Rattus norvegicus: one gene and its partners. The protein of the gene in region 1 interacts with the protein of each later gene in a pairwise test. Links are inferred from orthologs where the notes say so. Each region holds a gene or a part of one and is shown in the gene's direction. Other genes may lie near its edges.

The links.
Region 2: the proteins of Grn (region 1) and Krtap26-1 interact in binary tests that used the Homo sapiens proteins (3 or more experiments, as listed by UniProt). The two-hybrid records come from large-scale screens. The link is inferred for Rattus norvegicus from reciprocal best matches to the Homo sapiens genes GRN and KRTAP26-1.
Region 3: the proteins of Grn (region 1) and Fam76b interact in binary tests that used the Homo sapiens proteins (3 or more experiments, as listed by UniProt). The link is inferred for Rattus norvegicus from reciprocal best matches to the Homo sapiens genes GRN and FAM76B.

What each region holds. Positions count from the first base shown.
Region 1 is NC_086028.1:87,887,887-87,897,885, forward strand, and holds the end of Grn (progranulin isoform a precursor), read left to right. Parts: exon of another isoform or gene 1-148; intron 149-2,330; coding exon 2,331-2,475; intron 2,476-2,587; coding exon 2,588-2,713; intron 2,714-2,835; coding exon 2,836-2,920; intron 2,921-3,275; coding exon 3,276-3,385; intron 3,386-3,482; coding exon 3,483-3,618; intron 3,619-3,716; coding exon 3,717-3,826; intron 3,827-4,004; coding exon 4,005-4,128; intron 4,129-4,299; coding exon 4,300-4,397; intron 4,398-4,489; coding exon 4,490-4,735; intron 4,736-4,949; coding exon 4,950-5,183; intron 5,184-5,262; coding exon 5,263-5,487; intron 5,488-5,573; coding exon 5,574-5,711; 3' UTR 5,712-6,052; downstream 6,053-9,999. Other genes in the region: protein FAM171A2, read right to left, coding at 6,658-8,104, 8,620-8,746, 8,855-8,971, 9,068-9,247, 9,327-9,485. UniProt on the Homo sapiens protein: Secreted protein that acts as a key regulator of lysosomal function and as a growth factor involved in inflammation, wound healing and cell proliferation. Regulates protein trafficking to lysosomes, and also the activity of lysosomal enzymes.
Region 2 is NC_086029.1:41,447,954-41,456,748, reverse strand, and holds Krtap26-1 (keratin-associated protein 26-1), read left to right. Parts: upstream 1-4,800; coding exon 4,801-5,442; 3' UTR 5,443-5,494; downstream 5,495-8,795. UniProt on the Homo sapiens protein: In the hair cortex, hair keratin intermediate filaments are embedded in an interfilamentous matrix, consisting of hair keratin-associated proteins (KRTAP), which are essential for the formation of a rigid and resistant hair shaft through their extensive disulfide bond cross-linking with abundant cysteine residues of hair keratins.
Region 3 is NC_086026.1:18,966,625-18,977,264, forward strand, and holds the start of Fam76b (protein FAM76B), read left to right. Parts: upstream 1-4,912; 5' UTR 4,913-5,143; coding exon 5,144-5,230; intron 5,231-5,930; coding exon 5,931-5,995; intron 5,996-6,864; exon of another isoform or gene 6,865-6,870; coding exon 6,871-6,925; intron 6,926-7,943; coding exon 7,944-8,099; intron 8,100-8,622; coding exon of another isoform or gene 8,623-8,754; intron 8,755-10,008; coding exon 10,009-10,208; intron 10,209-10,640. Other genes in the region: Cep57 (centrosomal protein of 57 kDa), read right to left, coding at 4,023-4,067. UniProt on the Homo sapiens protein: Negatively regulates the NF-kappa-B-mediated inflammatory pathway by preventing the translocation of HNRNPA2B1 from the nucleus to the cytoplasm.

The sequences.
Region 1 (9,999 bases):
GAGGATCCTTTGCAGATATCTCCCCCGCTACTGTCCAGAGGCCTGACCAGGCTGCTGTGCAATTGAGGGTCCTCTGGAGTCTCAGCTCAGAGACAAGAGAAGACCTGCCTCTTGAAACTCCTCTAGGGGTTTCTGATGCACTAACGAGGTTTTTTTTTCTTTTCTTTTTTTTTTTGGGGGGGGGGACGAGCGGTTGTCGTAGATACCCCCAGTAAGAGGCTCCTCTTGCCCAGCATGTTGGAAAGCTGCAGGCCTTTCTCCAGGGCAGGAACCACCCCACTCTTGGGCCAGCTCCTCTGTCTGTACCTGCCACCTGTCTCCAGGTCCCGGCTCTTTCTCTTTCTGATGCTGCAAGTGGTCTCCGCGGCGGCGTGCAGTGGGTGGGGAGTCTCCCGCCCTTGGTCCCCAGAGCTCAGAAGGGTTGGGGGCAGGACCCGGGCCTGATGGCTGAATCCCTGGGTTGTGTCAGTTGTATTTCCTTTCTTGGGGGCGAGAGAGCTAACTTCCGCCTGCCTCTCCCCGCCACTTTTCCCTGCTCCTTCTCATTAGGATTGGCTCACCTTTTCGGAAATTCATCTCCCCTTGACACTCGGAGATGGGGGGTGCCACCTAGTGGAAGATGCCGGAGCTAGGGCTTTGAAAGGCTCCGGTTCTCCCTGGCTGTGTAATGTAGAGGTGGTCAGGGGCTCACCACTCCCCAGTCCTATTGAGAGGAATTGGGTCTCCCTTACCCCTTCCTGGTTAGGAAATGGCCTCTGGGATTTTTTTTTTTATGTGGGTGGGGGTTAGGTTAAAGAGCACTTGGAAGGACCTAAAAAAGGAAAGAGAGGGGGTTGGGGGAGACGACAGATCCTTCTATGTAGCCTAGGCTGGCCTGGGATTCACCTTGTAGCCCAGGCTGCCCTCGGATTCACCTTGTAGCCCAAGTTGGCCTGGCACTTGCAACCCTCCTACCTCAGCCTCTCAAATGCTGGGATCAAAAGCATGCCTGCCATGCGTGGGTGGCATTTCCTGCCTTTTGTAGCCACCAGTGTCCAGGCAGAGATTGAAGACTTGAGACACAGGGAAGGAACAATTTCTGAGGCCCTCAGTCATAGATTAGAGTGTTACTTCCAGGACTAAAACCCAACTGCAGCTTCAACGAAGTCCCTGTACCCACCCTGCTTCTATCCTGCTTGGGTCACCTGCCAAGAAATCTTCTGCCCCATCCCTCTGCACCTCTGGCCTCTGGGAATCAGGGTCCTTCCCTGGCAATGACCAGAGACAACGGTTGGCATATGAACCCAGTCTAATACCCTGTCTTTTCCCCCCTGGCTTGATCCTTAGGCATGGATTTGAAAAGTGAAAGTAATATTTTAATTATTGCTTTTCATAGATTGCTGAGAAATACAGTGAGAGGGGAAAATGGCTCCCTGGAGGGTCTTTGAATATTACTGGGTTTGCTGCTCTAGGCAGAATAACATCTTTCTGGGTTGCTGGGTAGACCATCTGAGCTGGGAAAAGGCTTATAGGGAAGTGAGAGGTTCAGTTCCTCCTGCTGAGGCAGAGAGTCAGTGAAGAGGTCCACTGGTTCTTCCCACTTGCAGCTGAGTTTCGATTTCTGATCAGGGAGAGACAGAGGCAGTCTGTTTGAGGAGTCCAAAAGGACCCTGGTGATGTCCGGAAGGCCTCATCATGAAGTTAGCTTTGAGGCTGACCTAGCCTCTGTGTCCCCTTCCCTTGAGTGGGGTGGGGACAGTTGTGGGTAGGCAGTGGCTGGCCCATAGGGAAGCCAGCCCAGACCCCACTGGCCACAGTACTTCTGTTTTTACAACTTTCTCCACCGCTAGGTTTCCCATATGATCATGTGACTGATGACTCTGTCCCCCAAGGCCTTTGAAAGCTACAGGTGGCAGACAGTTTGGTACCAGGCCGGGGTGGAGTTAGGCGGGCGGGATGGTGTGGGGCTGGCTTCCTCTTATGGCTGCTAAAGTCTCTTCTGCCTCCCAATTAGTCCTCAGTTCCATAAATCAAAGCCACAAAAGCCACATGCCTTCCCGACTGTCATAACCCCCTCCCCTCCTCTCCACGCACTCAGACTCTCAGGCGTTAGGCCATATGAATCGACACTGGTGTTCCTGCCAACATTCATGCTCACAGTGAGTGCAAGCTGACACACGAGTGCCGTGCACGGGTAGGGCGCTGACTCGAGCGACACATCTGCCTGCTTTCCCGTTGAGAATGCTCAATAAACCCAAGGCCTTGGCCTGAGCACAGGGGAATGCACAGCCTTGGAGTAGAAGGTGGCACAGGCTTCAAGATGGCTGCCAGACTTTGCTTGGCATTTGCAGGCAGACCATGTGGATCCTGGTGAGCTGGCTGGCCTTAGTGGCAAGGCTGGTGGCTGGAACACAGTGCCCAGATGGTCAATTCTGCCCTGTTGCCTGCTGCCTTGACCAGGGAGGAGCCAACTACAGCTGCTGTAACCCTCTTCTGGTGAGTGTCTCATGCCCCAGTTGGCAGCCTGGGCTTTCTGAAGGACTGTCTACCTCAGATTGGCCAGAGGACTGGCACAGATCCTTTGATTGATGTCATCTCTTCTTTCCAGGACACATGGCCTATAATAACGAGCCGTCGTCTAGATGGCTCCTGCCAGATCCGTGACCACTGTCCTGATGGCTACTCTTGTCTTCTCACTGTGTCTGGGACTTCCAGCTGCTGCCCGTTCTCTGAGGTGAGGCCGCCATTGGCTTAGGGGAACAGGAGATTGATTAAGATCTGCATTTACCCCTTTCCTTCACTCTTCTAGTCCCAGGCAAAAGGGTCTTGCTCACACAGGTGTCTCTTCGTCCATAGGGTGTATCTTGTGATGATGGCCAGCACTGCTGCCCCCGGGGCTTCCACTGTAGTGTGGATGGGAAATCCTGCTCTCAGATATCAGGTGCTGTGGGGCACAGGGGAGGGGGCACGTGGGGACGGACATCAGGAGTTACCTGAAGTGCCCAGGAGCCCAACTGCCTGGGTGGCCCTGGGAGGGGCAGTTCTGAGAGAAGAAGGTGACAGACACTCCAGCGTTGTGGGACACAGAGAGGCCGTGCCGGAGTGATTTGAGCACCAGCCCAGTTTCACTGGATGTCTTAGCAGTAGGGGCTAGCTAGCTGGTGGGGTCCTGGGAGATCACCTAAGCCCTGGGACTGACCGCTAAGCCTCCTGCAGCTGGACCTGCAGTTCCTTCAGTGATGGTACTGGTACTTGACCAACTGGATTAATGGAATTCTGGATTCTTGGATCTGCAGATAGCCTCTTGGGTGCTGTCCAGTGTCCTGGTAGCCAGTTCGAATGTCCTGACTCCGCCACCTGCTGTATTATGATTGATGGTTCCTGGGGGTGCTGCCCCATGCCCCAGGTATAGGGTGTGGGAAATGTGGCACCTATGGGTAGAAGGGTAATGCTGGGGTCCGGGGCTGACACAGATGGATTTAGGACCACTTGTTTCTTCTCAGGCCTCTTGCTGTGAAGACAGAGTGCATTGCTGTCCCCACGGGGCCTCCTGTGACCTGGTTCACACGCGATGCATTTCACCCACGGGCACCCACCCCTTACTAAAGAAATTCCCCGCACAAAGGACCAACAGGGCAGGTGAGGAGGCCCGAAGCCACCCTGCCAGCACCTGGGGGTGAAGGGGAAAAGTCCCTCTATCCTAGCAGCCCCTCCCTCATGCTTCATTGCTCTTTCAGTGGCTTTCCCTTTTTCCGTGGTGTGCCCTGATGCTAAGACCCAGTGCCCTGATGACTCTACCTGCTGTGAGCTACCCACTGGGAAGTATGGCTGTTGTCCAATGCCCAACGTGAGTGAATGGCTGGATTCCCCTGGATCTGGACAAGGGGGCTCCAGGCACTCGGTTGATCTGAGAGCCTTAAGGCTCGTGCTGCCCCCTAGTGGCCGATTGGAGCAGTGCATGCTATCAGCTTGGCTTGCTCCCTATGCTCGCCAGAGTTCAGAGACTTCTACTTGTCCCAACCTAGGCCATCTGCTGTTCCGACCACCTGCACTGCTGCCCCCAGGACACTGTATGTGACCTGATCCAGAGCAAGTGCATATCCAAGGACTACACCACAGATCTCATGACCAAGCTGCCTGGATACCCAGGTATGGGACCCCATTTCATCTGCTCAATAAAGAGGGTTCTCAGTTACGGAACGCTATGGGGTGGGTTTTGATGGCTTGCATGAGGTTCACTGTGGCTGGGATAGCTGTGTGCTCCATTCTCGACGCCTGGTCACACTGTCTTCGATGACTTGGTCTCTCCCTACCTCACAGTGAATGAGGTGAAGTGCGACTTGGAGGTGAGCTGTCCTGATGGCTACACCTGCTGCCGCCTCAACACTGGGGCCTGGGGCTGCTGTCCATTCACCAAGGTACTTGGGAGCAGTGGGCACAAGTGGTCCGAGCCGAGGGGGCAGCTAGCTTGGTTCCAGTGCTTATCGGGGCCTCTCTCTGTCTACCTAAGGCTGTGTGTTGTGAAGACCACATTCACTGCTGCCCAGCCGGGTTTCAGTGTCACACAGAGACAGGAACCTGTGAACTGGGAGTCCTTCAGGTACCCTGGATGAAAAAGGTCACGGCCTCCCTCAGCCTGCCAGACCCACAGATCTTGAAGAATGATGTCCCCTGTGATGACTTCAGTAGCTGTCCTTCTAACAATACCTGCTGCAGACTCAGTTCTGGGGACTGGGGCTGCTGTCCCATCCCAGAGGTAACGAGGGAAGCGAAACAGCCCAGAGGGGTGGGGATAGCATCTTGGCCTGGGTAGGTAGGTGACAAGAGTCTTGTAGCCTTATTCTTCTGCACTCTGCGTAGTCCGGGGTGGCACCCAGTGCTGTGATTTGTCCCCAGCTGGAGAAGCTATGAGCAGGAGAGGTAGACTCCCATGATCCTCTGTAGGAACATTCTTCTCTGCCCACCGCTAGGCTGTCTGCTGCTTAGACCACCAGCATTGCTGCCCTCAGGGTTTCAAATGTATGGATGAGGGGTACTGTCAGAAGGGAGACAGAATGGTGGCTGGCCTGGAGAAGATGCCTGTCCGCCAGACAACTCTGCTCCAACATGGAGATATTGGTTGTGACCAGCATACCAGCTGCCCAGTAGGGCAAACATGCTGCCCAAGCCTGAAGGGAAGTTGGGCCTGCTGCCAGTTGCCCCATGTGAGTCTCCACCCACTGCCCTGGGAGAAGGGAGCTGTGTTCTTGGGGTACGAGTGCAAGCCATTCTCTTGCTCCACAGGCTGTGTGCTGTGAGGACCGGCAGCACTGTTGCCCGGCTGGGTACACCTGCAACGTGAAGGCGAGAACCTGTGAGAAGGATGCAGGCTCTGTCCAGCCTTCCATGGACCTGACCTTTGGCTCTAAGGTTGGGAATGTGGAATGTGGTGCCGGACATTTCTGCCATGATAACCAGTCCTGTTGTAAAGACAGCCAAGGAGGCTGGGCCTGCTGTCCCTATGTAAAGGTCAGTGCTGTCCCCGACCCTGTGGCTGGGTGTGGCCATGGCTGTGTTCTGTCTTGTCTAGTACTTACTCTCCCTTGACCATCCAGGGTGTCTGCTGTAGAGATGGACGTCACTGTTGTCCCATTGGCTTCCACTGTTCAGCCAAGGGAACCAAGTGTTTGCGGAAGAAGACCCCTCGCTGGGACATACTTTTGAGGGATCCAGCCCCAAGACCGCTACTGTGAGGAAGGGCTAACGACTAAAGAACTCCACAGTCCTGGGAACCCTGTTCTGAGGGTATCCACCACTCAGGCCTCCCTGGCACCTCTTCCTTTAGTCTCCCCGGCCTACTCATTCTGAGTCACCCCATCACCATGGAAGGTGGGGCCTCAAACTAAGACCTTCTCTTATGGAAAGAAGGCTGTGGCAAAAGCCCCGTATCAAACTGCCATTTCTTCTGATTTCTGTGGACCTTGTGGCCAGGTGCTCTTCTCGATCCACAGGTGTTGTGTGAGCTTGCTTTTGTGTGTGTGTGTGTGCGCGCGTGCGAGCGTGTTGCTCCAATAAAGTTTGTACACTTTCTTAACAGTGTCTGATTTGGTGTGCCAGGGTCCTCTGGTATCAGCATTCCCCATAGGGGGGAAAATCCCCCCCCATACACACACACACACACACACTCACACACACACACAGAGCTTTAACCTCACCAGTTTTGTATTTTTTTTTGTTGTTGTTGTCCAGAGTGTCATCACATTATCCTATAGTCCCCAGGACCGCCCCAGCCACCAGCCCTGTGACATCCAAGCAGCACCCCTCCCCTCCCAAGGGTCCACAGAGATTGTCCCTCCCTTCCCAGCCCTCACCCTAGCAGCTGAGGCTGGCTTGCCCCTCCTGCTCCCACAATAGATCTTTCTATGTACAGCCACGTTTATACAGGCACTGCTCCCCACCCCTGCCCTCCTCCCCAGCCCCTCCCTTAGGGGACCGGGTCCCTCCCACCTCCCTCTGCTTAGAGGCCAATCCAGGGTCCCTTCCCAAGACACTCCCCCAGCACAAACCACAGATGAGCTCAGCTGACCCATGAGCTCTTCTCCGGGCTAAGAGCGTATGCCCCTCTGCTGCAGCATCCCGGGGCGCGCACCCTGGGAATCTGCACTGGCGGCAGGGGCGGTGGGCGACCCCCGGGCCGCACTACTTGACATTGAACACCATTAGCGGCCGCTCCTCCCGCCGCTGCCACGGGCTCTTTTTGTCGCCAGCCTCATCACCCACCTCCGCCCCTAGCTCGTCCTCGGGGCTGGTGAGCGAGTCGCGCCGCAGCTCACTGGCGCTACTGCGGGAACTGTCCCCACGGCTGCGGCCCCGACCCCTGGGTACTGTGGCTGCCCGGCCTTCGGGTGCCACCACCTCGTCCAGCAGGGGCGTTAGCGAGTTGTCCTCTGGCGAGCAGAGGCCTGTGCGGCTCTCACTGCTGCTGGGCTCTGTGTCTTCGCTGAGCGCCAGGCGCGGGGGCGCGGGCGGCGGCGGCGCGGGTGGCTGCGCGCGCTCCCGCTCCTCCCTCGGGGGCCGGCGGCGCGCAGGTCGAGCCTCGTGCACGTCGACGCCTGAGTCCAGGCTGGCATCTGTGCTGCGACCGCCGCCGCCCGCCTGCAGGTCGATGTAGGAGTGGCGCACTTGCGAGTTGGAACGTCCGTCCAGGGACACGAACCAGGCGCGCGGGTGAGGCTTCACGCCCAGTTCCAGCAGCTTCTTCTCGGTCAGAGCCTGCAGCTCGCCGTTGAGCTGCGCCATGGTGGACTCGTTGAACAGCACCGGAATGGTGACCGAACCGCTGACCGGTGCGGAGCGCCCGCCGCCCCAGCCCTCGCCGCCACCGCCGTCGCCTCCCGCACCTGCGTGGCCCTGTATCAGCGGGCGCTGGGGATCAGGTTGAGGGAAGGGGCGCGCGGGGCCGGCGGCCGAGCCCTCCGGCGGGGTGGCCTCGTCGCCCACTCCCGCGGCGCCCGCCTCTCCGCCCAGGCGCACATAGTGTGCGGGGATGACCAGGGTGGGCATGACATTGCGGTACACGTTGTCCTTGAGGTGGTCGATGGAACCGCAGAAAATGAGCTGGCCGGGCTGGCTGAGGGACGGCGGCCGCGCCAACTGGTCCACCGACTGTGACAGCAGAAAGTCGGGGGTCTTGCTCTCGGCCGCCCCCTTGTGGCCCAGATAATGGTCGAAGGACGGCGGCGGCGAGGGGGCCTCATGCAGGAAGGCAGCGGCTCCCGCTGGACCCCGCCGGTATTCTTCCAGGCTGGGCTCCAGCACGCCGGGACCCTCGACGGAGCGGGCGCCCTTAAGCCCGGCACCTTCAACGCTGCGGGCACCAGGAGGCTCGGCGGCTGGTCGACTGGCGGATCGCGGTTTGGCACGGAAGAAGTCATCCCGGGAGGATGCTAAGTCTCGGGAGCTGGAGAAGGCCGAGTGTAGGGAGCCTGGGGGAGGGGCCTCGGGGTCTCCCGACGACGTAGGCTCCAGGGGTCCCCCGCAGATAAGATGGAGTTGAGACATCGACGTAGCCTGATCTCGTTTGTTGTCCGAGGGGCCGGAGAGCTGCAGCTTGCGGTGCTGTTGTCTTGGTTTCAAGCAGCGTCGTCTGCAGAGGAGGAAAGAGACAGGCGCTCAGGGATGCTGAAAGGAAAGGTATCTCCGTAAACCAACACAAGGGATGAAGCAGGTGGGGTGGAGATGGAGGATGCCGGGAACGTTCAAGAGAAATGGTGGGGAACCCAGATGATGCCTGGGGGGAGCTGTTTGTAGAACGAGGACCATTCATTCATCCAGGAGATGCATTCATTCAGTTTCACCGGGGTAAACTTGGCAACGCTTGGCATGTACACCAGCTAGGAGTGCCTGCTCTGGGGGTCTCCTGGAAGTGAGAGCTGGGCTGGCTGAAGCCATTGTAGATGGTCTCTGAAGAGGCAAGACCTGCAGGTCCTGCCACCTGTCACCCGTTTCTCTAAAGCCACCAGTCTCTGGAGTCTAACTCTTGCCTTGCCATTCTTTCCTGGAAGCACTGATCGTCTAGAAGCATCTTTGGGACCCCAATGCAGAGCACAAGCGAAAGCCTAGGGATATGGAGAAGGCGGGGAGGGCTCCAGGCGTACTCACCGGCAGTAGTAGATCAGAAGACACAGCAGAATGAGAACCAGCAGGGCTAGGGCTGCCAGGATGGTCAACAGGAAGATTGTGTGGTACGTGCCGATGTCCTGAATGCCTGAGGTGATGGTAACCAGCCCTGTGCCAGGCAAGGGCTTAGGATGCCCTTCTTGCCTTTCACAAGGCCTGAGCTCTCCCAGCCTTCCCGCTCCCCTCTGCCCCTCCCCCACTGCCCCACGGATCTCACCAGATGTAGGGGAGGCCATGGCAGCTACCCAGTACCCTAGCTGCGGGGAGACAAAAGTCCAGTAGAGCTGTCGGCCTTCCTTCCGAATCACACCAGTGCCATTTCGCACCCACAGCCCTGGAAGAGGCCAGAGGAGTTCATCAAACCCAGTGTTCTGCCACCTCTTACAGAAGCCCCAGCCTCTAGCACGGGCACCCTGCCCCTAACACTTACCACTCTTGGGGTCAAACCTCCAGGCTGGAATGCTGGTGCCCACAGCAAGGGCACGAGGCTCTGAGGGTACTGGCAGGGACAGGTGAATGGGGCCTGAGAGAGGCACCTCTGTCCCATTGCCCGTTAGCAGGTGTACGCTCACAGCAGTCAGGGGTATCAGCTCCAGCCAGGAGCCATTGCCTGAGGGAAGAAGACGCTGGCACTAATGGCTATGCCCTTAAGGAAGGAAAGGTGCCTCTACATTAAGTACATGGCTTACCTGAGCTAGAGGCCTCAGTCCCCAGGAAGGCAGGGAAAGCCCGCATTTCCTGCTGGGTGCTGGCAGGGGTGAGCGAAGCCCAAAGCTGGTTGTAGGTGGAGCTGACGGGCAGGCGGGCAGCTCTACGCTGGAACTGCACCCAGGGCTGGGAGCGGGCACCTGGATGGAAAGCAGGCACTGTGGTAGCCTGACCCAGACCAAAGCAGAAAGCAAGTATCCAGAAAGGAGAACCTCAAGATTAGGCTGATCGGAAAGGCCAGGGAGCATGAGAATATTAGCGAGAAGTGGGTAGCCACAGATTGTTAACTTGAAGGGATGTGATACCGAAACCTCCAGTCCGGGTGAGTGTGTGTGTGACCTGCCACAAAGGATTTGCTTTCTCTGAAGTTTCCTTACAAACATAAATGACGAGGGCTAATGGGGCTAAAGAGAAGGCACCGTGGTTTAGAGGGTTACCATTCATACAGAGGCTCTGGGTTCTATTCCCAGTTCACAACCACCTATAATTCTAGTTCCAGGGGACCCAATACCCTTTTCTGCACAAGGTACACAGAAATATACTCAAGCACACGGACAAATAATAGTCATTCCTCAGCTAACAACTAAGATTCCCTGTCTTCATGCTCATGCTAACTCTCTCTCTCTCTCTCTCTCTCTCTCTCTCTCTCCCACC
Region 2 (8,795 bases), on another chromosome or scaffold:
TCTTTACCATGGACATGGGGAATAAAACATCAGACTGTAAACATGAACCACATACAGTTCCTATTTCTCAGGTTTGTCTCAGAAAAAAATAACTGGAAATTTTTAAATAAAAGACTTTTACATTTAATATATCAACATGTAGGTGAACAAAAAAAATTAAAGGATCTAATATAGACAAAAGAACATGGTTCATGGGCTTAAGCATGAGAATGGAAATAATAGATACCTCTACCTTTAGTGTCCTTAATAAATTATAAGAGGATGTGTTATTTAAACAGAGCAGGATGTTTATATCCTGTGGAAAGCATTTGTGTATGTGGAGGAGGAAGAAACGAAAGCGTGAAACTCCACCATATTTTGTGTAAACTGTAGTTTCTGTACTTGACAATGCTACAGTACAACAAAAATTCAGTTAATAGGATACTATGTCCTGACAAACTGACTCCAAATTCTGACAAAGTTCTGGGTAGGGTGTTCACTGTGCGACAGGCCACAGTTCAGTGATTTTATACATGACACAGAACAAGAGGTGCTTTATCTAGGTCAGGTTATGCTTCTCTAAGCCAAGCTAAGGTGACTATTGGCAGAAATATTAGACTCTGCTGATGAGAAACAGGACAAAGACTGTGAAGCGCTCCTGCTTTCTTGCTGTCTCTTTTGAAGGCAAGTTGAAGTTCACCAAGGAACAGCTTTAATAATGATTTAAACAAGGGTGTTAAGAGGACAGGAGAGAGATAAAGAAGGAAAGGGGGAGAGAGAGGAGAAAGAGAGAGAGAGAGAGAGAGAGAGAGAGAGAGAGAGAGAGAGAGAGAATAGGTGGATTTAGGGAACAGGCAATGCATGCTCATGATAGGTATAAGTTTCTCAAAACAAGAAGACCCTTTCCTCCTGTTTCCAAGTTCTTCATATTCTTAATAAATCAATTTCCCAGGCTTAAAAAAAGTACCTGAAAGAGATTGTTAAGTAAGTAAATGTTAACTTTGATAAAGGTCATATTTCGTGACTGCTATGATGCCCATTAGGAATATTTATTGCCAATAGGCAGAGTTCCTCCATAGTGATCACGCCTACTAAGTAGGTGAGAATTAAATTAAATATTAAGTGTACAACATATAAAATACTGTCTGGTATGTAATAATGATAGGAAGGCCACCATAAGTGGTAGCCACTGCAGGTCCTATATTATAGTTGAGAAATAAGACAGGGAATGTTTTGCTTGAGAAGTGGCTGCATTCTTTGTGTATGTGTGTGTGTGCATTTGTTGGGAGAGAGAGCAGGGCATACAACAGAGGAAACAAGGTAGACTCAGGCAGCAGGGAGTTGAGCAATACAGCATAAAAGGGAAGTTAAAGTGATGTTAAATGATGGTGATTATATGTAGTTAAAGACTAGAGAAATCCAGTTTGGCAGGAATGGTCTGGGAAGTAATTATGAAAAAGGAGTTAAATTACTTAGAGGCTAGATCAATAAAATTGTAGTTATTTCCAAGGACAGAATGGGAATGGCAGTCATCTGGCAGATGACATGGAAAGAGGAAGCAATGTGATTCTAGACATGAACAGGCAAACCAAGAATGTCTATGAAACAGTTTTGGAAGCAGAGTAGGGTTGGCCACGTGCCTGGCTTCTTCTGTGTGGGCAACTGGAAACCATTAGTGTTTGGGTAGAGTTTCATGATGTAATTAACTTTGGGGATATGATTCTAAACACAACATTCACATAGAAGAGGAGGCATTGGGAAGGAATCACAGATACAGGATTCACAAAAGACAGTGTTACTGATAGCATGGGTTACAGAGTTAGGAATACGTGAAATGCACGATCATGGAGGCCTGAAAATGGAAAGACACCATAGGTCACTTCCCAATCTACCCTTCACTTTACTGTTAGCATCATTTTCTAAAAACAGATACTTGGTTGCTATTTCTTTGGAAGAGAGCATTAATTTATTACCTACTAACACGAAGACATCCAGCAAGCCAGTCTAAATTTAGCAACACGATTGGAATCTTTCACTCAAAAACTCCTATTGTCAATTATTTTGGTGTTTATGTATTTTCCTACTGCCTGAATTCTTTCCTTGTTTTCCAGATTCCCATGCCATGTCTTTCTATCCATAAAAATTAGTACAATATGTCAACTTTAATCAAGGATAATGGATGTTTCCTTGCCTTCTCTGTACATTGCTTATAGGCCTTGGTAAACACGACTTTGTCTTGTCCACCAATGAAGGGTCCCTAGGACAAGAATGGTTTTCATCTTGTTTTATTGTTTCTCTTATTCTTTGGTATATGTCTGGAATACTTGATAAATGTTTTCTAAACTAACAAATGCATGAAACAATCAAGTGTGTCTCCTCTTGGCACACACTCACGGTTGAATGTGGTGAAGATTGTTCATCCAAGATAGAAATACTCACAATCTTCCTTGTAAAGTTGGAGGGGTAAGGTCCCCGATTCATTGAATATAAAGCTACAATGTGTGTTCATTCAGTGTGGTACATGATTATCATGGACTCTGTGGAATCTAGGATGACATGAGCCTGCCCGTCTGTAAGTTATAGGACCCTGCAGGTAGGGTGCTTAGTATTTGGACCAAACAAACCCTGACAGTAACATAGTTATTTAGCCTATAGGAATAAACTTCAGGACTCTCTGTTTCCTGAAAGTTTGCAGTATTTTGTGTGTATATTTGTAGGTAAAAGTGATACTGACAGTGGCAGGGGATACATAAATTAATTAATCCCAGGTTTATGTAGTTGTTAGATGACAACATATATTCATGTGTATATTGATTTCTGTATGATGCCACATTAGATTATGGGAATAAAAATGTTTGGAGATGTGAGGAATTTGCATTTATAGCATTTTCTTGATGTCTATTACTCTAATGTTCTATGTTTCAGATGCAAATACCTAAAACAGTAATATTTCACCTTCTAAAGTTATATGATGTATTGACAGCAGAGTTAGGCATGACAGTGCCACCAGGCATTTCATGGAGTAAGTACTGACTAAGTTCTAAATATTTGTAATTCTTTAACACTCCCCTTTAGGTTAAAAAACAACCATGCATAGAACACATACCGAACCCGTGCATGTGTACATGCCTCAGCGATGGACTCTTGACACAAATGCTGGGCTCTTGGTTACATTAGAGATAAGCACAACTAAAGAGCGTCTAAACATAAATTTGATAAACACTAACCTAAGTATGGCTGTACCCATGACTAATGCTAGCAGATGTGTCTGAGGTTGCACAAGAAGACTCCATCCACTGCCTACAAAGTATCTGGTGATGAAGTCCTAGGATGGGTTCCTCACTTGCATCAAACATAGACTGTCAAAGAGTGACGGCTCTTCCCTCATATTCTGAGCTAAATTTAGCTCATGCGCATAAGACCTCAGAGCCTATATGGCTTTATCTTCACGCATATCCCTCCTGGCAAAAGAGACCTGGATTGCTGCAGAGAGACCCATGCACTGGTTCATATTTTCTACTCTCCTGGGCAGAGGGAGACTGGATAAGTGTGGCTGTGACCATTGAACATTAAAAGAGAAGAAAGCACTGTGATTTAAATTGAATTTTTAGCCAAAGGGAATGGAATTGAGATTTTTGACAGATAATTTAAATTCCCATTAAAAATAGCCACTGGAGGTACTGGGTACGCCACTCTGTGAAAACCGCAGTGGACGGTGGAGACTGACCAGCTCCATGCATTTAAACCACATTAGTAGAGACAGAGACATGGCAGCTTTTGAAAAGCCTTCAAAGTACTCAAACCTAGCAAAAGTTTGCATACAATTCTAATGTGATTATTTATGCCAACCAATGCATGGGGTCCCTTTTGGAAATTGAGGTCACATGTGGGAAATAAACAATGCCATGTTCATTATAGTAGATTTTTTTTCTTTTTATCCGGAACAATATACTTCAGTGGTCATATGAAAACCCTGAAATATATAATCCTGCTAGATTCATGATACGTGACATTTTGTCCAACCTTTTTAATGTACTTGCTCATGTTCAATCTGGAGTCGACCATTTTAACTGAACTACATCTCATTACCTATATTCTAAACGATCACAGACAAAACACAACCTCAAATGACTGTTTATTCAACCTTAGGTTTTAATGAAGCAAGCACTCATTTTCTGAATAAACATATTTTCATGGGAAACCATTTTCTATTCAGATGTTGAAATAAAGAAAAACAGGCAGGGGTCTTTCCCAGGATGGCCTTTAAAAGTCTTTTGATCCTAAAAGTTGTAAGAATTTTTTTAAAAAAGAAATCTTCTTTTGCAAACGTCTTGCTTTATAGGATATCTTTTTGCCCATGTTACAAAGAGAATAGAATTATTTCTCAGTTAGTTATGTGTAGTTCACCACTATTCAAAGTAGTTTGCTTCAAATTTCAAAGACGGCTCCAAGAGGGATTCTTAAGAAAACTATTTGTGCGCTGGTGGTTAGAACTGTAGTGAGTCCACAGCCTTCCAAAGTATCTGTTTGGGCTGGATAAATTTACCAGGGGCCCTATTAAAACCCAGGCACACTGATTTATGGTTATAGTCAATCGATGGGAGGCATTTCGGGGATCATCCAGTTTTATGGGAGGTAGGAGCGCTACTTCCTGGGTATGAGAGCGTTCAGATGCGGCCTCAGACAACAAGGAAGATGAGTCTGCAGACAGAACTGCCACTCTCTGAGAATATATAAAGGGACAAGACGAATGGGGTGTCACACTCACACCTGACGTGCTCCCAGCCGCTCTTAGACCACCACCACCCTCTCCAGTTCACTATGGCTAACCGTAACAACTGCTCCAGCAGCTGCACCTCTGGATCCCTCAGGAATTCCTGCCACATCCCAGCCAGCTCCAACATTGCCCTCTGCTCTACAAACATGGGCTGCGGAGAGGTCTTCTGCGTCCCCAGCAACTGTCAAGACCACACCTGGTTCATGGACAACTGCCCAGAGACCTTTGCAGAACCTATCAGTGGCCAGCCACCCAGCCGCGAGGCCAGCGGCTTTGAAAACTCTTGTTGCTCTTCTGCATATTGTGTGCCCAGACCCTGTCATGGATCTGGCTATCTTCCCACGACTTCCTTCATCTCTGGATCTTGCCTCCCAGCATCCTACAGGCCCGTGAGCTATGTATCTAGCAGTTGCCGGCCAGTGAGTCCTTTCATGAACAGCTGCCGTCCTGTAAGCTGTGGATCTGGTGGCTACCGCCCACTCCCTTGTGTATCCAATAGCTGCCGACCCGTGGGCATCGTCACTTATGGATGTAGGCCTTCAGGTTGTGTGACCTATGGCCCTCAGACCATTCACATTGTGTCAAACAGCCTGAGACCTCTGCAGCCTGTCTGCGGTGGTTGCCAACCGGCGATCCCTGTGTTTGGCAGTTGTCGTCCATCTTGCTCTGCACAAGGAGGCCAGTAGCCTCCTTGTTCTAGTGAACAGCAATGACGAAGATCCAGGATAAAACTTGCAACTCTCTGGATGTTCACTTCTTTCCAGTTAGCATCTGCTTTTCCTTGTTTGCACCGTGTCTCTGTTAATGCAAACTGTTCCTTTCACACTGTGACTTGCTTTTATCTTTCCCTTGAAAAATCTTGGCCCCTATTGCCACTCATGTTGCTTAGGTGGGAAGATAATCTACCTGATATGATCTGCACTATAATAAACGAGATTAATCCAGAATTAAGAATCTAGTGCATTGAGTTTTCTTTCCTGACTTCATTTGCTAGGGGACACTGCACTGTCAGGTATATGCTACCTGACATGGGGACAATGGTTTATTATTTAGGAGTGTAATGGCCTCAGAAAAATATGGGGGACCAAATCATGACCTTTCTCAAAGTTATGGTCAAAAGGAGAGCTCAACACTAAACCTCTTACCTCTGACTTCTATTGCACACACCTCCACCAGAATATTCTCTAATTGCAAACCAGGCAATAGGCTCCTGTGTGAACCTAGGTTGTTTCCTTTGATCTGATTCCATAAGACAGGATAAGTACTTTCTTGGTTGCTGTTGCCCTGCCTTCTTCTCTGGATTTAGCCCTTACTACTTAGCATTGCAAGTACCATGTACCCACACTCTTGTCTGACATACAGTGTCCCCTAAATGTATTCTTTTAAAATGATCACCACCATTTTATACATGCCACTATCAAGAACACTTTGACCTTCTCCGTCTGTTGGAAGTATCACAACACAATGCAAATTCATTAATGAACCTTGGACTTAAACAACAACTAAGAAACCATGAACACTCACGCTATGTAGAGTTATGTGGGCGGGGTGCAGAAGAGACAGAGGTGTAAAGAAGTCTGATACGTACTATCAGAGTTTGCCAGAAGTCATACACTGTGGAACACATCATAATTAAACCCCATTAATTAAATAAAGCTGAACTGTAAGTATGTAAGTGGTCATCTTTTTGGGGATACTGGGAATGGTCTTCTTCAAATGCAAGAATTAGAAAAAAAGGAAGAAGAACATTAAAACCAGACTTAAGTGTGACATAGATGCTAGAATAATCGGAAAAGGATTTTAAATTACTCTGATGTGTATTCTCAGAAATATGATCAAAAAGCCATCGGGCAAAACAGAGAGATAGAGATTCAATGAAAGGATTTTTTTTTAAATACTAAAAGCACTTGTGAGATAAGAGACCAAGGACATAGGTCCATTACAAGCCCAAACTAAATTCTGAGATGACAGAGCACTTCCACTCTCTCTGCCATATTTCTGAGAGAAACTTGGCCTGGTAAATAGCAAGAAGCAGACACGTACTTGTAGTCTTTTCTCCCAGATGAGGCATGTGCCGCTGTTTCACAGTTCTAATCCTATCTATAAAATTTCCAGCACTGGCAGTGAGTTCTTCCTTTTAAAAACAAGTATTTATTTATTTTGCAGTGTTGGGTGTGCGACTAAAGTGTCCTGTAGGTAGCATAAAAGCTTTGCCTTTACAACCTTAGCTCCAGAGTGACAGAGCAGCTCCTCTCACGTTCCTAATGCTGTTGTTGTAAGGCCCATTTGCCAGAGAAGATGGGATCTGTACCTTCAGTTTCTGAATCCCGTCCTAGACAGATTCCTGACACCCAACCATGACAATTAAGTCTTTAGAAGAGTCTGCCTCTGAGCGAGACATGAAGCTGTAATAGATTTGGTTACATTTCTGAAGAGGAGATCATCTCAAAGTGAGACTAATGGAACTATAACACATGGGCTGTTTTGTGCTAAAGATGTCACTATTACTCTGAAGGCTGGTCCATAGACTCATCCTACCTGCTTCTGAGCGTCAACATGGAACCATAAAGCATCTTCCCAAAGCACATGTCATGCGATCATTGTACTAAAATCCTGTGACGTTCTTCCAACTTCTAAACTATTTCTTTGAATTTTTTGAGCAAAAGATGCTGAACTTATAACTGGCAAGAACATGAACCATGTGTCCTAGAAATTGCTAGAGGCTGGACATGACATAACATGAAGATAGAAAGTCTCTGGTATACTGAACATGAGGCAAAGAAATAAAACAAGAAAGACATAAGTATTGGTAGCTAAGAACTTTCAAACTGAAAGAAAAATAAAAACAAACAAACAAAAACATGAGACCAGAAAATTCTGCATGCTCAGACAGTGTATCGGCGCTGATAATTGAAGAGATAAACATTCACAAAAAGGACTTGAGGTTGGGTCTACCATTCCAACTGCAGAAACCAGACAGAAATTCTTCTCTTCAAAGGAACTAGAGGATGAGCTACCCCAAACTTCCTTACAGAAGTTACAACTACAGCAAGACATTTTAAATGGGTGTGGTAATGTGATTCCTATTGTCCCTTGCCTTTTACATAAATTTGTTTTGTGTGTTAATGAGTCTTTGCATAAGATGCATGTCTGATAGGCCCAGAAGTAAGGAGAAGGCCTTGTAACCCTTGGAACCAGAGTTACACATGGTTCTGAGCTGCAACATTGATGTTGAGAATCAAACTCTGGTCCTCCAGAAAGAGCATCCAGTGCTCTAAACCGCTGAGCTACCTCTCCAGGCCCATCATGTCACATTTTTATTTAAATTATTAAATTGCTTTACTTTGCTGGATTCTGCTTCCTGAAATAACTAGAAAAACCTTTTTTAAAAAGGCAAACTGTTCAGTCCAATAACATAGTGTGTTGTTGCGTGGTATGACTAATACAGTTGTATATTTTGAAATTATTTCAGCATGATACATTGCTAAGCATGCAAGACACCCTTGCATCATGGCAAACTCTCTTCTGGGTGCTAGGAATGTGACAGTAAACAGTTCAATCACAGAAAGGGTTGGAAAATAAATGGTAAATACTGATAAAAACGCAGTGATGTAAGAGGGTATTGCGGAGCACAAAGAGGGAGTGAGAAATATTATAACAAAGAGAGGTGATGCCATTTAGAAAATTCAGAAATATTAGATTGATGAGTGACAGGAGAAGGCAGGTTTACTGCAGATGTCACTTCATCTTCCTGTCCTCTGAATCTCAAGCCCAGCTCTGCATCAGATCATTTAGTGTAACCTCCCCTTCAAACTTCCTCCCAACCCTGTTCTCTGTCCCAGCCCCCAACTCTGGGAAGCTGCCAAATAGGCCTTTCAGAGCAACAAGTAGGCCAGTGAAGCAGCAGGTAGGCAAGATTCAGATCTCCCTCTCTCCCTGTTCTCCTCTAAATCCAGTGCCTCAGTCTCATCCCCAGCTCTGAAACAGATGACATATTGACATATTGTGGCCTCTCCTCACTCTTTGCCCTTATTTCCAG
Region 3 (10,640 bases), on another chromosome or scaffold:
AGCTCCCAAAAAGGGGAAACAATTGTAAAACACCTTCAGGCTTATCAGATATTCTCATAGCATCTGTCATGAATCTGTCAGATTTGACATTATGCTCTACATGACATATATTTACCACAGTCTACCTCTGAAAGTTAACGAGAATTTTAGCAGTGGTGAGTTTATAGTTTGGACACTCAGGAAAGAGGGAAGTCATGGAGGTTCTAGGAGCCAAGGTAGAAGACAGGATGACTGCCAGCTGTTCAGAGTTCTCACACACTCATCGGCCTTCTCAGTGTCATAACACATTAGGATTTTCAATCTTGTATTAATGAAGTCTGCAAAGGAATGATGGGTATTCGCAACAATAAACCATGTATGTCCTGGAGTAAGCAGAACTCTCCAAATACCTGTATAATAATAAAAATTTATTTTGAAAGTAACCTGAAAAACAGTTAAGTTTTCACTTCTTAAAATATTGTCAATGTTATTATGAATTGTCTGGTACCTTGATCTTACATATAACTAACAGAGAACACTGTTTTTTTTTTGTTTTTTTTTTTTGGTTCTTTTTTTCGGAGCTGGGGACCGAACCCAGGGCCTTGCGCTTCCTAGGTAAGCGCTCTACCACTGAGCTAAATCCCCAGCCCCGAACACTGTGTTTTTATTGGTTAGCTAGACACAGCTAGAATCCCATCATTTAACATTCAAGCTAAACTAAGTGATTTTGTTCTAGTTCCCCCTCACGAAAGCAAAAAAATTTATGTGATCACTTGAACTGAATAAACAACTAGTTCTAAAAAGAAAATCCATGAACTAGCTCTTCCTTCTTTCAAAACTAGCAGCAAGCAACCTGTCTGTCTCCACTTAGCTTTTCAAAGTCTCACCTCCTCAGATTAAACCCCTCCTGGTGTCTCTATTTCCCTTCTCCACTACATCTGTCCCAGGGCCAGGAAAGGGGAAAGACAAAACCTTTTCCTGAACTACAAGACTCTTCAACCCTAGACTGATCTTGAGTTTTTTTTTAAAACAAACTCTAGTGCAGTAGATAAAGGTACGTGCTGAACAAGCCTAATGAACCGAGTTTACTTCCCAGAATCCACTTAATGGTGAAAGGAGACAACTCCAAAACTGTCCTGTGATCTCCAAAAACAAACTGTGGCAGGTGCACCTCCCCTCATCATCATGCACACATCAATTAAAACTATCAAAATTTTAAGTAAAATAATCTTTCAAAGGATGTTTGCAATTGCTACTTTAAGTCACCCCTCTTTACTCATTCCTAAGAAGCAAACAGCTCATCAAACTCACCAGTTCCTCTACATTGCTGAAGTCAGCAATCTCTCAGAAGCATGGATCACATTTCTGTGATCGTTCACATAACCCTCAGTGGAGGAACCCAACAAGGATTTCCCCTTAATCCCATAGACTCTCCTTCATCAACTCCCTGGATCTCTAACCGCTTGGGAAGTCTCATCTACTCTCAGGCTCTTCATTTTTATTTGTCTTTCAAATTTAAAACACAGAATGGAGATCTCAATCTAAAACTCTAAATTCACATTATTCACTAGCTACTTGGATGTCTCAACTAACATGCAGCATGGTTATAACTAAAGTCTTGGTTAGTCCCCAAATCTGCTCCTCTGCCAGCATACCAAAACAAAGACCACTGCCATTTACCAAACTAACCCATACAAACATAAAACCCAATAGAGGTAATTTTTATTTACCTCTCATCTACTCTCTGTAAATCATCCAGGGTTCTTTCTCCATAACATATTTAGAATCTTTTATACTTTAATATTGCTATAGCTCTATTTTTAGTTTGAATTACTTGAAACACCACTTTTCACATTTCTTTTTTTTTTTTTTTTTTTCCGGAGCTGAGGACTGAACCCAGGGCCTTGAGCTTGCTAGGCAAGTGCTCTACCACTGAGCTAAATCCCCAACCCCTCACTTTTTACATTTCTTAAGTCTGCTCTTCCAATCAGCTTGCTAGTGATAATGATCCTTTAAAAACTGAGTCAAGTTAATAGATCTAATCAAAACCCCATGGACTACAACTCAAAATTCTTACCACTCACACAATTCCCACATAATGTAGCAAGTACCAGGCTAACCCTTATATCGTTTCCTGACACTTTCTTTTGATAGTCTCCCTACCAGTTTTTTCAGCAATACGGACTTTGATTTCAAATACCCACAATCCACTCTTGTTTTCTTATTTAAAGATTTATTCATTTATTATATATAAGTACACTGTAGCTGTCTTCAGATACACCAGAAGAGGGCATCGGATCTCTTTACAGATGGTTGTGAGCCACCATGTGGTTGCTGGGAATTGAACTCAGGACCTCTGGAAGAGTAGTCAAGTGCTCTTAACCGCTGAGCCATCTCTCCAGCCCTACTCTTATTTTCATTGCTGCAATTATTCTGCTTGCAAAGGTCCCTTCCTACCTCCAGTTGCCTGCTTACACCCTAACACGGAGGCATTTTCTTGTTACCCTACTAACAGCATCTTTCTATCAACGCATCTCCAAACCTTTTATTTCAAACACTATTGTTACACACATTTACTATGGTGGAGTAAAAATAGTTTCTCTTCTGTTCCCAACTCCAGACAGAGTCACAAGATCTATTTTTCCATGAAACAGGCTTTAAATTTCTGCTGGGTCTACCCTAAGGACTAGGGATTAACTGCATCCCTGTGGCACTGCCCTGATGGCCTTGAGTGCAGTTCAATCGAAGTTGCCTGAGTTTCCAATTTCTAAGTTTTGAGAGCAAAGAAAGAGCTCTCCTTCCCCAGGTTTAATCAACTGTATCTCGTATAATTCATGCATCTGCTGGCACTTAGTTCTGGTAGTTTTTCTTTTACCTTCCGTTGACCTGACACTGGATTAACTCCCAATGACTTGCTTCATCTCTTCTCTAGATCTTAGATCTGTTTGGAAAACGAAATATTCTGACCTTCTCACAAGTTCTAGTAGCCACAGAAAGTTGAAACTACGATTCCTAAGTTACCTCATCCGCTGTTAAAATTACCCTGATAATTTCCTGACATCCCTCATTATTCATTTTCACCTTTATTTCTAGCTCTTCTTAATCATTGCTACCTCTAGATGTCTCTGGGGTCCTGGACGTTCCTACTGTCTAGCCACATAGATCTTAAACCTGCAGTGCTTTCTTCTTTTAAAATTCTCTCAACAGGGCAGCCAGCTCACCCTCTCTTCAAGATCCTATCTTCCCTAATACTGCTAATCAATCTCTCCCAGACTCCTCTGGTACCCAAGCCTGTAGCGCAGCAATTATCTAATTAGTACGGTGCTTTGCTCCTTCTTTAGAATGGGGTTTCTATTCAATTCTTCCCTGTAACTTTAGGACCAAGGGTCAGCTAGGCACAGGGGCATCTCTAAACAGAACTCGAGCGTTCTCACATTTAATTCCTATCTCTTCTTAGTGGAGCGTTTTCCAAAAGACTGAGCTCCACAATCCACTCTTAAAACACCAGTGACTAATCTCGCCGGTTTAATTTCCCCGATCGCTTCTCCAAAACAACATTTCCACACTGTATCCTAGTCATGCCATGGGAAGTAGGGATGCCCGGGCTCCGGCTGCAAGGGTCGCGCAACAGACACTGAGAGGCCCTGTAGCAACGGCGAAAATGCACTCTGGGGACCACGGACGCCTCAGCGGCTGTCACTCTACAGACCTGCACATCTACCTGTTACTGAGGGTTTCCGAGCTGGGCCGTTACGCTCACGTGACTGACGGGGCTTTGTTTTAGCAGGCCTGAGCGTGCACCAGCCTGGCTCGGGACAACGCTCCACAGCTCCGGCTGCGAGGACCTGCGAGCGCAGAGCGGGAAAGGAGGCGGGCTGCTGCTCCAGAAGACACAGTTGCAGCCTCCCGGAGTGGCACGCGTCCTCGGGCAACCCGCCATCCTGCGGGACCAGGGCTGACGCCAGATCTAGGCGCCTGAAAAGTGAAGCAACCCAGAGAGCCGTCCAAGACCACCTGGAACCCACACAAACGCCACCCCTTACCGAAAACTGAGAATCAGAAGCCGCCGAGACCGAGGCCGCCGCCATCTTCCCACCTGCGCAACGCGGGCCGCCGTCCTGGAGCCCCTCCCCCGGATTCGACAGCCGCACGCCTGGGGCAAGCCGAATCCAAGTCCCCGATGGAAAGGGCGGGCGAGCTGTGAACCTTATAGGAGCCTCGGTCTCACAAACCACAAGGATGCCACACTCAGCGCGCAAGGGAAAGGCAACGCGTCTTGACAGGCGCCTTCCAGTGACCAATCAGAAAAGAGGACAACTTCTGGTGGCAGGGGAGAGCCCGCCTCTTCTCTCGGTGACGTCACAAGGTAGCGCACAGCGGAGCCTGCGGGGACGGCAACGTCGTGAGTTGGCAGACTGCTCTGGGAGCTTCTGGAAAGGGATGAATGTTTTGAAGGAGGAAGCAAAGGGTAGAGCTTCTGGAGCCTTCAGCGCCTACTGGTGTGGATGACGGAAGCTGAATAAAGGTGATTGGAAAGTTGATACACTCCATCAACATCCCAGGAATAAACTCCAGAGAGCGTTGCCTTTCCAGGTGAAGTACTGACCTTTCGGCCAATGACAAACAGGAGTAGGAGGGGCTTAACGACATGGTCCAATGGAAGCCAAGGACTGAAAAAAAAATGGCGCTTCGTGAACCTGTGCCCAATGGGCTCAGGCGCACCAGCCAAAGGATGACTGGCCGCGGCTTGTGGGCGGGATCTTTTCAAAGCGGAGTTCGCGCTCCGAGAGCGGCAGCCTCCTATTGGTTGGTTCTTTCTCTCTTTGTGGGCGCTCCCTGCCTAACCGAAGCAAGGGACTGGGCGGAGCTTCCGAGTGACGTGAGGGCTCTCTGTAGCCAATCATAGGGAGGGACGCGAGACCGAGGAGGAAGCGGAATCCACAGCCTTGCTCCCGCTTCGTCTCCCTCCGCCACGGTCCGGGCCTAAGCTGGAGCGGCGGGGCGGGCGGTAGTAGGTGTCCCGGGACGGCGTCGGAGGCGGAGGGGGACGCAGGGGGCCCGGCAGTTGCCAGGCCGGGGCCGCAGCGGCAGAAGAGCCCGCGGGCGGGGCAGCCGAGTTCCCGGAGGCCCCGCCTGAGCGCGCGCGGAGGAGCCGGAAAGCAGGATGGCGGCGTCGGCCCTGTACGCCTGCACCAAGTGCACGCAGCGCTACCCCTTCGAGGAGCTATCGCAGGGCCAACAGCTCTGCAAGGTCGGTGGGCGCCGGGCGTTCAGCGCACCGCTCCCCGCCAGGGTCCGGGCATTATGTGGGCGAGACCCGTTTCGACCGCGTCCCGCCTGCTCTCAGACTGGGGCTGACTCGGCCGCGCCTGGCGGTCTCGGGTGGGGCTGAGCCAGGAGGCCACCAGTCCACCGTGTCGCAGAGATCCGGTGCAGACTCTCTCATACCAGATTTGGGAGGGACTGCCTTCTCCTTCCACTGGGAGGCAGGGCCGTGTTTGCACTTTCTTGCTAGGAACCCGAACCTGAAGCTGCAGAGCTGATGGCATCCTGCTTTTCTGTCCCGGAAAGTGAAGCGACTGGTTTGGGAACAGAGTGCTCTGATTTGGAGCTCCTCCCATCCCATAAAAGCTGGGATGCTGTCTGTGAGCAACTGTACAAAAATAACTAATAGTTTCACATGTAAATCACCCCCTGGAAGTCAGTCCTGACAGCTTCCTTGGTTTTTATCTTTTCCATATCTCCTCGACCCTCCGCATCCACTAAGGACAAAAATATCCCCATGGAATTATACTCTAACTGGCAGTTAATGTGATAAATCACCAGTTGTTTACGTTGCCAGCTAGGTTTTTTTGACATTTCAGGCACTTGACTAGGTCGATTAATTTCTAGCAGAAGAGCAAGGTTGGGAGTCTGAGATAAAAACTGACTTATGTATTATCTTATTACAGGAATGTCGGATTGCACATCCTATTGTAAAATGTACTTACTGCAGATCAGAATTTCAGCAGGAGAGGTTTGTATACTGAGCAGTTTTTCGTTGTTACACATTTGTATAAGGAATAACTGGGGGTTGTAATATTTGTGTTAAAGCGCTTCGAAAAAATGCTTTTGTTTCTGAAATTTAAAATGAAAAGCTACTATGTGCAGTATGAGAGAAGACATTTAACTAAAGAAATCCTGGTTTTATTTTAGAACCAGATTTCAACTTGAACACGTGAAAATAAGGGATAAATTGATAGATGGAAAATGTATACTTCTGCCAACAATCAAAATATAAACAATTACTTTTAAACTGTTTTTAAGGGGAAACTGCTAACTAGCCTAAGGAAAGAGCTACAGTCTTTCCAACTGCCTTCTAAGACTGCAGTCTCTGCCTTTAGCAGTGTGATTAGCACAGATGCTTTTAACAGTAGACCCCTCTTTTAGAGGACACAAAGTCAACTCAAGAGAACAAGTGGTTTTCTTACTGAGTATGTGGACATGGCAGTGGAAAAGGGCAGGCTGGGAAGTGAGGTGGGCCCTGATGCATGAGAATGTGCGTTCGTATTGGTAAGGGAATGTTTAGAACCAGAGGGAAGACATTAGGGCTTCTGCTTTGTTTTCTTTACAGAAAATATGCAGTAAGTTGGTTGCCTATAAGCACAGTGTTTGGAGGTGGAGGCAGGAGAATTACCACTTAGAGACCAACCTGGGCATATATCCTGAGACCTGGAGGCACTGTAGTACGTAAATAGTATATGGAAAATTTGTCTTAAAGAAAACTGGGTTTACAGAAAACTATCCTAAAGTTAACCCAAAATAAGTCATGTACAGATTTATTATAGGCCAGCACATGATACCTACATGGAAAGCTGCATGAGTAATCATCTGAATACAATTCCTTTTCAGCAAAACTAACACAATTTGTAAGAAGTGTGCTCAAAATGTCAAACAGTTTGGAACAGTAAGTATGTTTTTCATTTCAAGTCCTTATTATTGACTAGTTTCAGTTCTTCATGATTTTTCTCACAAAACAGTCCAGTCTCTGTACTTAATCTGCACATATCAACATAGTTCTTGGAAAACTTTTTCTGTACTGTTAGTGGGAAAATGAAGTTGTTTAAAAACAACTGCATGCTTTAGATGCTTTATAGCTTATTTCAGTGTGAAGTTTGTGAAGGTATTTTTTAAAAGTACCAATGAGGCAAGCTCCTTAATGTGAACATATTTATTTTCAATAATCAAACTTTCTCCTGATTTCTGGGACTTTTTATATGGCAGCACCATTCAAGTGTTCAAAACCAATGACAGTATCTTGGTACAAATTGACTAATGCGCGTGCGCGCGTGCGTGCGCATGCATGCGCATGCATGTTGTTGATAGTAATATCGGTGCTGTTTATGATTGGTCAAAGTGCTGACCTTAAGACTCTATACTGTCCTGAATATACAAGAAATCAAGGATGCTTATTCTTACTTAAATTGAATATGCAATACAATTCTTTAATATTGAAAAGATATTTATGTTTACTGTGGCAACAACCTATGCATGGTAAAATTATTTTTGATTGCATAAATGATGTAACAGTTAAGCTAGCTAGTAAATCACTCTTAAGTTCATATCCTCAAGTTAAAGGTTATGAGACTTTACTGTGAATAACTTTAAGTCCATAAACAAATTTTATATTGTATAAAAATGCCGTAAAAATGCCGTATAAGTCCACTGAGGACTCACGCACGTTGTCTTTCTCACAGTGGTCAGATTTCTGAGCATGGGTAGTGAGCTTCATGACCGTAGCAATAAATGTTAGTTGAATGAATAGACCCATAGTATTTGTCTTTGAATATATACTTGGCAGAAACAAATGTTTTTAACTTAACACTTTTCTTCATTAACCCCCCAAGTAGATTACTAACACTGGATGTGTCATATGCAACAAAGTTTTAAATATCTCGGTTAAACAAAATATGTTTATTTTTCAGCCTAAGCCTTGTCAGTACTGTAACATAATTGCAGCATTTATTGGTACCAAGTGTCAGCGTTGTACAAATTCAGAAAAAAAATATGGAGCACCTCAAACCTGTGAACAGTGCAAACAGCAGTGTGCTTTTGATCGGAAGGAGGAAGGAAGAAGAAAAGTATGTTTACTTACGTTATGATATCTTCTAGAATTAAAGCACCAAACTTGGCAATTGTTATAATCAGTACACCTCTAAGACCCTGGTTCCTGCTACTTGAAAACAGAAATGGAGGAGTAGCATATTATGACTTTGCATCATGTGTGGGTTCATGTTGACCAGTTAGGATGACTATACCCGAAAGATCTGTCATGCTGAATATGGTGTGTGCCTATAGTCCCAGCTCTGTGGGATGGTGAAGCAGGAGGATCATTGGAACCCAGAAATTCAAGACCAGCCTAGACAGTACAGTAGAACTGTCCTGAGTGAGAATGCTTATAATCCTTTGTGATAGGCGTTCTGCACTGTTCATTCCAGTTCCGTTTTGAAGTGAATCCTTTTACGTATATGCTTGCTGGTTACTTGAAATTGTTGCTGTGAGAAAAAACACCAGATGGCATATTAGCACATAAGATTCAGAGTTAGTGTCTGCCTTTTGTTTGGCTCGTGTTTGAAACTCCTGTTTGTTTCTCTCTGCCTACAGTGACGTAATTATTAGGTGTATGTGCCATTCCTCTGCTGATGAGCATTCACACAAGCCTCCTGTGTGTCAGTTTCAGTTGCTTTGGAGGATGACTGTCACTTTGAGGGGCTTACCCAGATCCCCCACAGCACTGTATGTACCTTAGTTGTAAGACATGTCCCTCCAGCATTTCCTGTATGGAATGAGGAAAGGCAGAAACTAGACCTTAATTTTGGAAAGAAGTCACTTTCTCTCCGCTGGCCTCACACAATTGGTTCTCATTATTTGCAGTAGTTCCTGTCTGTAAAGTTGCCAGGAGCACCAGTGAATAGCAAGCTGTAGTTTTTAAGAGGAATTCAGGAGTAAGTTCCTGCCTATAATCTTAACATGCTTACAATTATCCAATACATTTGTGATTTTAGTGTCTGTTGAAGATAACTTATATGTGAACCTAATTGAACTCATGGCCAGGAGCAGTAATAATAACTGAACAAAACTATAACTAGCTTTTTTTTCTAAGGTCCATCACAGCCTTTTTAAAACTAAGAATGGCAGTACTGAATGATTCTGGAAAGAACAGTGGTTTACGGTGTGAGAGCTGAAGCACGGAAGAGAATCCTGGCTTGTTTTGCTATAGGTGGGGCTGTGACGCCTGCTAACAGGAGTTTTGTGCTGCTCCACATCTATGTGAATGACCATAAATAGGAGTCTAGACTTAGATAATAGGCAAATCTACAGATATATAAACTCTGAATATAATGAGAATTGATTGTTGTTACAGCTTCTGTTCTTGTTTAAGTCAGTGTTTACTCTTGTGGGAAGTAACTGTCATTTTGGTAATTCACTACTAAAACATTCCAGCTAGATTTCTTTGAAATAATCAGCCATTTGTACTCCTTTTTTTTTTAGACTGATTTATGTCTATAAATGTTTTGCCTGCATGTGTGAACCATGTGCCTATCTAATACCCGAGGAAGTCAGAGGGACTTCTGTATGCCCTGGAACTGGAGTTGTAGCTGATTGTGAGCCACCATGTGGGTGCCAAGAACTGAACCTGGGTTCTCTGTAAGAGCAAAACATGCGCTCAACTCCTGAGCTGTCTCTCCAGCCCCTGTTGTACTTACCTTCTAGACTACATAAAGGCAGTGTCTCTCAAAATTAAAATTACTTTGAACAGTGCTGGAGGTCTATAAATCAGTGCTCGTAGCTAATTTTATAATCCCCTTACAGTGTTAATCCAAACATATATTTGTGCTCAGTTTAAAAAATCTGCATACGTGCATTTATTCTGGAATTTCACGAAAGTAAGAGTTGCACATGTGGAGTGAAGTGCTTGCAGGTTGAGTGGCTTGCTAGACTTGCTGCAGCCCGTTTGCAAGTGCACTTACCCAGCTGTTTTCCTCGAAGGTGGATGGGAAGTTACTGTGTTGGCTCTGCACCTTATCATACAAGAGGGTTTTACAGAAGACAAAAGAACAGAGGAAGAGTTTGGGGTCTTCACATTCCAATTCCTCATCTTCATCTCTTACTGAGAAAGACCAGCACCATTCAAAACACCATCACCACCACCACCATCACCACCATCGCCACAGCAGTGGCCACCACAAGTAAGCACTAAAATCCTTTGTTATAACCGGTCCTGCCATTGCTAATGAGCTTTCACTGTGTCTGTTATCTTGCCTCCTAGTGGCCAGTTTCTGTTGCACATGATGCTCTGAAAGATGTCCACAGTGTATTCTGTATTTATTAAAATAGTGCAGAATTCATTTATAAAACCATGTATGAAAATCAAGGTACATCAGCATTGACATTTCAGTTATGCCAATTAACAAAAGCTTCCATTTTAAAAGATAACTTTAGGTTTTATTTATATAAAATTATTTATTTTTTTAATCTTATGGGTATGTGTATGACACCGCGACCTTGGAGGATAGAGAGTGACTTTGTAGAACAAGTTTGGCTCTAGGTCGCAGGCTTCATGGGAAGCCCTTGTTTTCTGTCTGAGTATTTGAAGTTTATTTCACTTGCTCTTTGTTTAC